Linked DNA regions of Oryzias latipes. The protein of the gene in region 1 purifies or fractionates together with the protein of each later gene. This does not show direct contact. Links are inferred from orthologs where the notes say so. Each region holds a gene or a part of one and is shown in the gene's direction. Other genes may lie near its edges.

Region 1 (5,100 bases):
CGACGTTCAGTTGAACCGAACCAACAGTTCCAAAAGCTGCTGGTTTGAGGGAGCTTCTGCCTAAAATGAGTCCAGACAGGACATAAAGAAAGCAGAGTTTGAGTTTCAGACTCTGCCTTCTCTGGTGTTTCAGATCTTCAGTCAGAGGAGCGCACAGGAAGTCCTCCTGCAGCCACGACAGAGGTGGAACCACAGCCGGTAGAGGCCGCCGGTGAGTCCATCTCAAAGGAATGAAAGACTTAAAGGATGAAGTGTGTTTGTGTGGTTTGTAATGACCTGGATTGAAGCCAGATTTCCAATCCCCGTAATAGTCCTATATGCTGTCATGGAACCCCATCCTTTCTAAAAGAGGTAGAAACAGACTGTGAGGCTGTCATACAGCTTAAGTTTTGACAGTTTCTTCAAATTTCTACTCTGGTTCATAAAAATCTTCTCAGATGACTCACTGATTTTATTGTGTAGTTTTTGTTTAGGTCTATTGACCCATTTCATAACACTTTGGTTTCAAAGGTGCTTCACTCAGGAAGTCAGCTGCTGCTGGTTTCTACATCTGATCTGTTTGTTTTTCCTCCAGTGTTTTTTTTTTCGTAATATTTGGAGCCATGCCCTTAACATACACTGTGCTAAGGTTAGAGGCAGCTGTGGATAAACAACAAATGCTTTCAAAAAAGTGTTTTTCATCAATCAAACAAATGCAGAGAACGAACAAAAGAGAAATGTAAATGAAATCGGTATTTGCTGTCGGTCTCCATCTGCCTTCAGAACTGCTTCAGTTCTTCCAGGTCCACTTGTTTCTGAGGGAACTCTGCAGCTGACCGATCCAAACATCTAAGCTCAGATCTCCTGTGAGCTCAACCAAATCAGAGCAGATGTTTCAAAACCTAACATTTGCACAAATGGAACCTTTTCTTTGAGAATGGGAATGTGATAAATCCTTTTGTCAGCCCTTTAAAGTCGGTCATGTTTCATGTGTGACAGGAAGGACAGAAGAGCCAGTGGAGGAGAAACTCCCAGGTAGAGAGTTAGGAACGTTGAAAAGCTGTTTCTGAGAGGTTTTCCTTGAAACTCTCCTTTGCTCTCCTGCAGTGAAGAAGAAGAAGAAGCCAAAGCTGCTGAACAAGTTTGATAAAACGATTAAAGCCGAAATCGATGCAGCAGAGAAGCTTCGTAAGAAGGTACCAGCCCGGTCAGCAGCGCTCTGAGCTCCGTGTTTTTGCAGGACATGATGTCTCTCCTCCTCCTCTTTGCCTCAGGGGAAGCTGGAGGAGGCGCTGCAGGCGTTTGAGAGGCTGGTGCAGCAGTTTCCTCAGAGCCCCCGCGCTCGCTACGGGAAAGCTCAGGTACTGTGACGGTGGGCTGCAGAGCCGGCAGCTGGTGCAGCGGAGCGCTCATGCCTGCCATGACCCCCCAGGCGGAGGACGACCTGGCAGAGAAGCAGCGCAGCAACGAGGTGCTGCAGAGAGCCATCAACACCTACAAAGAGGCGTCCGAGCTGCCAGACGCCACCGCCGACCTCATGAGAGCGGCGCTGAAGAGACGAGCCGCGCGCCAGCAGTTCCTTGGTATGGTCCGAACACGCGGTACCAAGCAGAACCGATCTGCTTCCCGTTTGATCCCAACTCAGCTGACGTACATGTGTGTGGGAGGAGCTTCCCCTCCTTCAGAGGTGACCCAGAGTTCCAAATCTGGATCTGCTCTTTTTTTCAAAGGAATCTGAATCAAAAAAGTGGAGAAACAGACCTCATGTCAGAACCTCTTCTGCACATTTAAACTCCCTGCTGGTCCAAACGGGAAACCACAAAGCTCTTTCAGGAGCTTCCTGTGGTCATGCTTTGTTTTTCCCCTTTATGCTTTTGAAATGTTAAAATGAATGAAAAAACATTTCCTAAACTCCTCAGAGGCTTCAGCGCTTTCACCTGGAAAGGTCCAACCTTTACTACATTAGCAGACTTTCAAAGTCAAATAAGTCCACTTTTAGGTTATTTCCAGGCATTTGGCCTTTTTGTTGTAAATTTTGCTCATAATATTTACATTTATTTTAATTTTTTATCTAAAAGACTTTTTAGATACAACATTTTGTTTAATCAATTTGTTTTGGACTTTTATTTGATTTAGTTTTTAGTTCTTAACTTGATCACTTTTGCTCTTCATTTCAGGGCTTCAGGTACAAACAACTGTACTTGGGTTTTCCGTGTAGCCCGTACAAAACCCAAGTACAACTGTACTTGGGTTTTGTTCCATTTCCACTTATTTAAAGTAACATAAACCCTTCATGTCTGTATTTATTTATTTCCAATTATAAAAATACATTTTCTTCAGTGTGTTTGAAGCTCTGGAATTTTGGTTCCTTGTAAATTAGCGACATCCGGCTTGAACAGGTTCCGTTTTTTTAAACCTTTGTGTTTTGTGCCGAAACACATTTCAGCATTTTGCTTTCATGCAAATGCATTTTTATTGAAATTAGGACCAATTACATTTTTTAAATATATTTTGGCACTATTTTCATGTATTACCTTTTCAAGTTTCAACGATTCTGGTTCTCCTCTCGTCGGCTGTGGTTCTGGATGTTCTGACATTAAAATCCTTAGCAGAAAAGTTCTGTAAAGGTTGCCTGGTATCTTCTCCATCGGCTCACTTTAAACGCTGTGTGCCTTAAACAGCTGCACAGGTGAGGACCGTACTCAGCCAGCTTCTGAAGTCATTTAGAGACTTGATTTAGAGAATTCTCGTTCAAACAGTGCAGCTGAACAGACAGAGCAGAAAACACGTTTGAACATTTACTGCTGTTCGTTGAGAAAGTCAAATACATGCAGATGGGGTTTGATTTCTGTCAGCTGTTCATGTACGATTCCGTCCCTTCAGCTTCTGCCAGAGGGTCGTTTCTGCTGCGAAGGGACACTTCCTGTGGTCCCGTGCTGCCTTCAGGGCCCTGAGCTTTGTGCAGTTCCTGTTTTACAGATGCTAGCTGGACTCTGGTCTGGAGCTTCACATCAAAACTTCCAACACTTTCTGGTTTGGTGATAACACCCCCTCCCCCCAGGTCGGACACGCGGGTCTCTGGTGACGCTGCAGACGTTGGTTCAGATCTTTCCCGACGACGTCAGCCTGAAGAACGATCTAGGCGTGGCCCACTTGTTGCTAGGCGACAACAAGGGCGCCAAGCAAGTCTATGAAGAGGTTTGTTTACAGACACAAACGTGCTGCTGTTTGTTTAAGTCCTGAGTCCTGATTGGCTGTTTATCCTCATTGCTCAGGTTCTGGGCGTCGCCCCTGACAACGGCTTTGCCAAAGTGCACTACGGTTTCATCTTGAAGGCAGAAAACCAGATTGCAGAGAGCATCCCTTTCCTGAGGGTTAGCACACACGTGCACGCGTCCAGGTGAGTGCGTGCACCTTCAGCTCTTGACCTCTCCTTTGTCTCTGCAGGAAGGCCTGGAGTCTGGCGAGCCGGGGACCGATGACGGGCGCTTTTACTTCCACCTGGGAGACGCCCTCCAGAGAGTTGGAGACGACAGTGTGAGTGATCCTTCCCCCCCCCCTGCTGACCACAGGAGGCAGATAATAGGAGATTACAGATTAAAGATGCCTTTATTGTCGTTGTACATGGTGATACAATGAAATTGTAGCAGCCTTGGAGTGGTGAAAATAAAATAAAATACAAAACTTTAAATCTTATCTCCAATCAAGATATGTACAATATGTACAGAAACAAGTAAATATTAAATACGTGTGAACAAAATAGAATGGCATGAGTTGAGTTGCAATGAGCGCAGCATAATATATATTGCGTTTTATTGCACACATGTAATTTAGTGTGTGAGAACAGTCAGAGTGGGTGTAGTTGGTGGGAGTATGCGTATAAAGTGATTGCCTGTGGAAAGAAGCTGTTCCTGAGACTGTTTGTCCTGGTTCTGATGGACCTGCACCTCCAGCAGATCAAACAGAGGGAAAGCAGGATGGGTGGAGTCAGTGATGATGCTCGATGATGCTGGTAGATGTCCTTCAGTGAGGGCAGCTGGTGATCCTCTGCGCTGTCTTTACCCCTCTCTGGAGACCCTTCACAAAAGATATACCGGTAGTAAAATATTAGTCTAAAGGAAGATCCGCAGAGTTTCTTTTTATACCACCATCTTGTTTCAGTTCAGTGAGTTCCTTGTGTCCTTTCTAACAGCTGATGCTAACCCAGTAGAAGCGTTCAATGAAGACTAAATAGAAATGGAGCATTTTCAATTGGGAGCCTGGCTCAGAGCAGCAGTGGTGATCTGCTGTGAGCAGGAAAAAAATCAAGGCTGGCACATGGCGTTGCCTGAATCCAAGATTTCTGTCAGAGCTTGTTAGCAGGTGTTTGTGTCGGCATCTTTCACACCTGATGATGTCAGCACAGGGGTTGAAAGTCACAGAGTTACGCCATTTCCATCGTCATAGACACCGTTGGATCTAATCCAAACCTGAACTGAGTGTGTATGTGTGACCAGGCTTATCAGTGGTATGAACTGGGTCACAAACGTGGTCACTTCGCCTCGGTGTGGCAGAGATCTCTGTACAACGTGAAGGGGCTAAAGGCACAGCCCTGGTGGACGCCCAAAGAGACGGGCTACACGGACCTGGTTAAGGTACGCCGCCTCACCTTTGCAGTTAGGTTCTTTAAGCCAGGGTTAGGGGTCCATGTATGCGGGTTTTTTCAGGTGCTGGAGAGGAACTGGAAGACGATCCGGGACGAGGCTCTGGCTGTGATGGATCAGGACAGGGGACGCTTCTTACCAGAGGATGAAAACCTGCGAGAAAAAGGAGAATGGGGCCAGTACACCCTGTGGCAACAAGGTAAACAGCCCCCAAAGGTCACAGAAAACCCAACTGTTGGTCCAGAGATAAAATAACCTCCAGTTAGAGCTTCATCTCCCCCAGAGGGAGGATTTTAGGGATCAAGGCAGTCGGCTCTCTTTTGCAGTTAGTCTCCAGTGGTCACTTGTGGAACTGCAGCATTTACTACTCCTGGATTGAGGTCAATCAGTTAATGTTCCAAAACTATAATTCTCTAAATCCACACTCGTATCTGGGAAAAATGCAAGTCTGGAACACAAGTGGTTAAAGCAGCGAAGG
Region 2 (6,377 bases), on another chromosome or scaffold:
GGACCAGATTATCAGTGAAGATTTCCAAAGGGTTTGGAACTTGTTATATTGTAGTAGCCTCTATATTTTTACTCGTCATCTTTTGTGAGTGGATGTCATAGGAATCAGCGCATGTTCCAAACAGAGCAGTTTGGTCTGGATGAGACTTCTTTTCCTTGTTCCTTGATTGGTGTGAAATTTTTTCTGATCTGATGGGTGGACCATGGAAGTATATTTTGAAAAACAATTAACTCATTTTTCTTGCAAGTGAACCTTAAAGCAGTCCAAAATCAGTGTAATTTGAAAATGTGAAAATCAAGAAAACTTTGACAACATCTGGGGTTATTGTTTAGGAGCACTATTTTCACCAAACCACAACTATATGATTTTCCCGAGACTCAAACTCTGCACTGAAAAGACTGCAAAAGGCAAAAAATGACAAGAAAATATGTAATACTTTTTACCACTCATCTCCCTTTTTATTTTGTTTTACTGGATATAAATATGACCTAAAAGTATCCAAAACCTATCACTTTTTTGATGATAAACTTATGAGAAGCAACATATATATTGGTCATGCTCTGCCGCCAGTGCCTAAACTGTCATAATATCATAATGAACTGAACAGACATGATTTGTTTTCCTAAACATCTACCATATTTTCCACATCATAGGGGCCACCAGATTGTATGGCGCACCGCGCATGCTTGTCTTGGTGCATTCTTTCTGACTTTGGTGAGTTTGAGTATGATTGGACAGAGTGACAAACGTACAGGTACAAGAGTTGACAAAAATACTATTTACCCGTACAATGAATTTGGTGGAAGTGAACCACTCAAAACATTTGCTACATTGACACTAACTTTTTTTAAACACGCTTCACATTAGCCACGTTAGAATCTTTAGCAGCATATTCATAATACCCGTTATTCCCAACCTTGTTTGTAACAGACTGATACCAATTAAACAAACATTACTGTGACTACGCTAACTCCCAACCTCATAACCTTGCTCAATCATTCAAACAGTAATTAGCATTGTAAATTACCATCTATTTTCCACTAATTTGTCATTTTTAAAGCATGTTTAGCAATATGTAACACATAGGTGTCAACATATTGTGAAATTTTTGTTAAAATACGTGTAATGACATTTTTGTAAGTGGAAAATGCTAGAAGAGGAGCACAATAAAGAGAGTCATTAGGGTTTTTGAGGTTCAAGTTTTCATGAATACATTTAGCTTGGGCATGTTGGTTGTGGCATGTGTTTTCCCTGTATTTGTATGGCTTTTCTCTTGTTCAGTGTTGTCAGCACAAATACTTGAACCAAATTTTTAGTTAGGGACTGTGCAAGCCAAAAATAAAGCAAGACGCTAAAGAAAAGTCATTTTACTTTGGGGGACTGTAGAGGAAAATAACTGTAACAGAACAATAAATGGCTACAAAAATAAAAAAAACTGTGTTATCATTGAGGAATTGTAGATTCCATAGAGTTTTTATTCTTTGTAATTGGTTTTCAAGAAGCTTTTGTAAGAAAATTGTCTGGATTATAAAATTAGTGGATTTAAAAAAGAATAACACATTTGTATATCAAAGGGAATTTTTGAAACCATTATATGTTTTGATTTCATTTGTAGTAGTAAATAGACATTGTTGCAAATGTACAATGTTACTGTGAATTTGGTGTGTGATACACCAGCATGTGTTGGATTACAACAACCTGCAACATCAGAATAACAACGTAAGGAAAGAAAGACAGACCAAAGGTACCTTTTACGAGGAGAAACGAACAGCGATAATCCTCAGCAACAATCGCTCTCCACTCTGGCGCATATTCTGTCACCTCCTCTTTTATTAAGTTTGTTGGGTATTCCCTAATTTACATATGCGCTGAGTTCTAAGGAGGGGAAACAGATAAAACACAGCTGCAGCGCTATCAGAAAACATTAATTGCAACATGTCTGTCTTTTCACAGTCTTCCCACGTCATCCGCAAACGGACCTGCAAAGTCTTTCCTCGGGGGCTCAAAAAATGATCAATCACAAAAATTAAATAGTTGGAATAGGAATAGGCAAAATTAAATGCACTATTTAGTGTCTTTCTTTAAAAAAATAGATGTGCATCAATTTTCATTAATTTTTTATGTATTTATTTATTATCCAAAAAATAAAACAAAAACTATAATTTTCACGTTGTGAGCACTATGGAAATGGAAAAACAGGAGCTTGTTATTTGGCCAAATAGTAATAGCAGTCATTCCTCCGCGCCTCGGAGGGGCGCTGTTCTCTGCGGTGTCCCTGCATTGTTGCTCAATCAGTGACGTGGACTTTCATTGAGAGGCAGTTTGTGCGGACACTAACAGCGTTTCTGAGATTCTTCTGTCAAGGTTTCCTCAGATATATCAGTCAGGCCTTCAGTGCTAACCTTTCGACAGACCTACGTAAAGAGCGGCTTTGTTAAACGTTCCGTATCAGGTGAGAGCCTCGTCGTCATGTGTGGATTTCGGTGTTTTGTGGAGTCTGACATAGTTTTCTAAAGTTTCCTCACGCTTTTGTTTGTTTATTGCGGTTATATTGCTCTGTTTTTTTTTTCCTGACAGGCTTCAGGATGAGCAAATCTAGCAAAGCGTTGAATCTGAAGGATAAACTGAGTGGAAATGAAATGGACTTGAGCCTGTGTAACCTCTCTGAGGTTCCGGTCAAAGAGCTTGTGAGTCAATTATGTTTATTAATAGTTAATTTAAAAAACACACACACAAGTAACACGTTTAATTAAAGTCAGGACTGGTTTGGTGTCTTTCTATAGTTCCTGCTATAAAACAATTGCAATAATAATAATAATATTCATTTAATTGTATGTATTTTTTAAGGCCCAGCTTCCTAAAGCAACAGTGATGGATTTGTCCTGCAATAACATCATCTGCCTTTCTGTAAGTATGAGTACAAAATCAGCAACATATGTCATTTATTGTGCTTTTATATATACATTTAACAGCATTATCTCTTGTTTTTGTTAAAGGATCAATATTGAACTTTTATTTAATCGGACTCCCTTTTTTGTATCAATTATATCGTGTGTCGCATGAATAAAGTAAATGTTTTGATCTCTAAACAGTTTTTAAAACTCTTTCTTTATGTTGCCATGAACTATTAGGTTCCCTTCTTTGGATAGGCACAGAAGTCGCCGTTTATTTTAATAAACTTTTTCTCTACCATTATTCCTGTTCCTCTGTCATCCATCTACTTGTAGTGTTAAATACCCACCCTGAGTAAAATTGTGTTCTTGGTATTTTTTAGCATGTTCTTGTGACATTTTCCTGATGATAAGGACGAGTATAAATAGAATTCAGCACAAATTGCCTAAGTATTTCTTTATTCAAATTGCTGTGAATCAGGAGCAGATGAAAAGAATCAGCGTGAATTTGTGATGTAGAATATAAGCTGGGTGGTCTTTAATTATAGGGAATGCATTGAAAATAGATCAAAATATGATTAGTGGGACTTTTAGCGGTGTTTGATAAATCAGAATTTTTACATTTTGGTTTGCTGTGTTTCTGTCCTGCAGCCAGAATTCTGCTCGTTGACCCACCTGGTGAAACTAGATCTAAGCAAAAACCAGCTAACCTGTCTGCCAGATGAGTTTGGGAACCTGGTCAACCTTCAGCACCTGGACCTGTTCAACAACAAGCTGATGACCCTGCCCGTCAGTTTTTCTCAGCTCAGGGTGGGTGGTGTGCAGCGTCTGCACTTTTGTCACCATTTGTGTCAGTCAGAAAGAGGCTGTTGTAACCAAGTCGGACTGAGCGTATTTTGGTTGGTTGGTTTGTTTAGAGTCTAAAGTGGTTGGATCTAAAGGATAACCCTCTGGAGCCCACTTTGGCAAAGGCAGCAGGAGACTGTCTGGATGAGAAGCAGTGCAAACTGTGTGCCTCCAAGGTGAGATAGAGGAACATCAGTCCAATGGTCTGCTCTGGAAGAAAAACCTCCAAACCTATTCATCGTGTTTTTTAAGGTTCTGCAGCACATGAGAGAAATTCAGGAGGAGGTGGACCACGCCAGAGAGAAGCGCCTTTTAAGAGAAAAAGGTGAGTTTCTAGAAATGTATCGTCTAAAGAAGGTTGTTTTGGGGTTTACCAAAAAAATGGAAAGTTTTGCCATTTACTGCATGTCTTGTAAAAATCTTATTTTTCTTTTTATTTAGAGCTGGAAAAGAAAAAAGAGGCAAAGCAGAGGGAACGGGAAGCCAGAGAGAGGGAGGCTCGCAAGCGGGAAAAAGCCGAGGAGAAAGAAAGGAGACGGCAGGAGTACCAGGCTCAGATGGCGGCTGTGGCGGCAAAGGAGCAACAGAAGAAGAAGAATGAGGAGAAAAAGAAAAGAAATGGACAGGCAGCAGGTGGGATTTAGGTTTTCAGTTTCTTGAATTGCTTTTCATTTATTTAAATTCTTTCTTTTTTAAATGGATGTCTTATTTTGTTTCAGCAGACAAAAAGGCGGCTGTGGAACCTGCGTCTAAACCACGGCGATCTCTTATCGGACTGATGTTCAAGCTTCTCCTCCTTCTGATGCTGGGTTTGGCCGGGGCTGTTGCCGCCTGCCGGCTGACCGACTTGCAGAAGGAACCGGCCTGCGTGCCAATCAATGTTGCCGTGGACGACGGCTTGGCCTGGGCCAAAGTGCAGGGAGGTGTCGTTCGACAGCTGGCGCAGAATCTGTCTTCTGCTGCAAAGGAGCTCCTAGAGTCCACATCCAAAAGCTAAATGCTCTCATGCCGGCTCGCTGTCAGAGGGGCAGGATTTTCATCCTATCCTGTGAACGACTGAAATTTTCCTCCGGAACATCAGGAAATCACCTGGAGAGCGTCTGTCGTTGGTACTGGCAAATTGTCTGCACAAATAGACGTTTGTTGAGGGGGAGATGTGTTGAAACCGTCCTAAATTCCTATGGAATTGTCATTCTTGTACCCTCTTTGTACTACAGTCTTTTTTTTCCTTATTTAATCATCTTTTATGTCTCCCGCTAAAGCTGCAGGAAACATAGCAGAGCCGTTCAGTGAAACCTCAAACAGCCCTGTTTGTGCTGCGCTAGACTCTTAAAGCCTGTTCACTGTCCGATGAGCATCTACAGAGGCTAGATGTGGCAGTCTGAGCATGTGCAGTGGAGCACCTATATATTCTCAGGAGTCAAACTTTAAGTCTCAACTAATGTAAAACGAGAGGCTCACCATTGTTCCAAAGATTGTCACAAGACTGATGACATAAGCCCAAACTTCCTAACACTGTTCCTCTCTCATGATCTTTTGAGTCAAATCTTAAAAAATACAACATTTTGTTAGATTAATGTTTTAACTGGTTAAATAATTCGTGAAAATTCAAGTGATTCAGGTTTAAACCCAAAGATTTGAGTTTAACAAAAATGAAAAAACTCAATTTGAAAAAGCTAAAATGAGCTTTTAGTTTGTGGATTAGTGAAAAACTAATCATATTTTCTTCATTATTCTGATAGGATATGTTTAAGAAATAAAGTAATGTTATAAAAACATGGTTTAAAAGCTGGTCAGATAACATGTACCTTAGTCTGCTTGTAAAGATCAAATTGCATTTTCCTGCTTTTGATTGTCACCAAGTTTTATTTATTTCTTAACTATCTTGAGGAGTGAGACTTAAATATGAAAATCTGCGTTTAAACTGCTTCACCAATAAAGAAGCTTCATGTCTGAAGTGAGTGACTGGGGTCTGCTTGATTTCCATAATAATGAATATAATAAATCAGGGGCAGTTTGGCTAAAACCTAAACCGTACTTTAAAGGTCAAGTTAATTTAAAAAAATTTGAACAACTAAAGCAAATCTTTTCTGTCAAGTTTTAAAAGACCTTACACCTTTTTTGCTTTTTGCAGAGCATTAAGTTTTAAACACTTAGTATTAAAAAGTGTGCAGCAGAACATTAATGTTGGATGTGTTAAGTAAGGGTTAATGGCCGACAAAGTGTGCGTGTTCAGAAATTAACGCACGCCATCTGCTTCGCGTTGACGGTTGCTTCCGCGTTAATTCCTGATAATGCACACTTTGAAGGCCATTAACCTTATGCCATGGTCACTTACAAAAGAAATACTAAGTTGTTTGTACTTTATTGTTATATTTTCGGTTTGATGGCTTTTTTTTTTTCTTTCACAAAAAACTATTTGTTACGTGATGCAATTTGTGGTAGCGGCTGAGTCGGCACGGACCTCGACTGCAGCGGGAAAGGAAAGCGATAATATATGCTGATTGTCACTGTGGGATATCCCTTGTGCTATCTTAGATGACCTCACCCTTACATTGACGTGTTCTCCCTACCATGACAAAGGTGGATAAAGGTGGAAAGATTTCATGTAATCCATGAAGATCACAAATCATTGAAGAA

What was found.
Region 2: the proteins of aspartyl/asparaginyl beta-hydroxylase (region 1) and lrrc59 purify together in Homo sapiens (co-immunoprecipitation; 3 studies listed by BioGRID and IntAct, with this or other methods). This does not show direct contact. The link is inferred for Oryzias latipes from reciprocal best matches to the Homo sapiens genes ASPH and LRRC59.

The regions. Positions count from the first base shown.
Region 1 is NC_019878.2:3,439,874-3,444,973, reverse strand, and holds part of aspartyl/asparaginyl beta-hydroxylase, read left to right. Parts: intron 1-133; coding exon 134-211; intron 212-978; coding exon 979-1,014; intron 1,015-1,086; coding exon 1,087-1,175; intron 1,176-1,253; coding exon 1,254-1,340; intron 1,341-1,411; coding exon 1,412-1,562; intron 1,563-3,040; coding exon 3,041-3,177; intron 3,178-3,254; coding exon 3,255-3,353; intron 3,354-3,426; coding exon 3,427-3,516; intron 3,517-4,475; coding exon 4,476-4,613; intron 4,614-4,685; coding exon 4,686-4,821; intron 4,822-5,100.
Region 2 is NC_019877.2:13,739,835-13,746,211, forward strand, and holds lrrc59 (leucine-rich repeat-containing protein 59), read left to right. Parts: upstream 1-2,276; 5' UTR 2,277-2,452; intron 2,453-2,577; 5' UTR 2,578-2,585; coding exon 2,586-2,687; intron 2,688-2,847; coding exon 2,848-2,907; intron 2,908-3,542; coding exon 3,543-3,701; intron 3,702-3,808; coding exon 3,809-3,913; intron 3,914-3,989; coding exon 3,990-4,062; intron 4,063-4,178; coding exon 4,179-4,370; intron 4,371-4,456; coding exon 4,457-4,734; 3' UTR 4,735-5,699; downstream 5,700-6,377. Other genes in the region: 5-hydroxytryptamine receptor 3A, read left to right, coding at 1-101.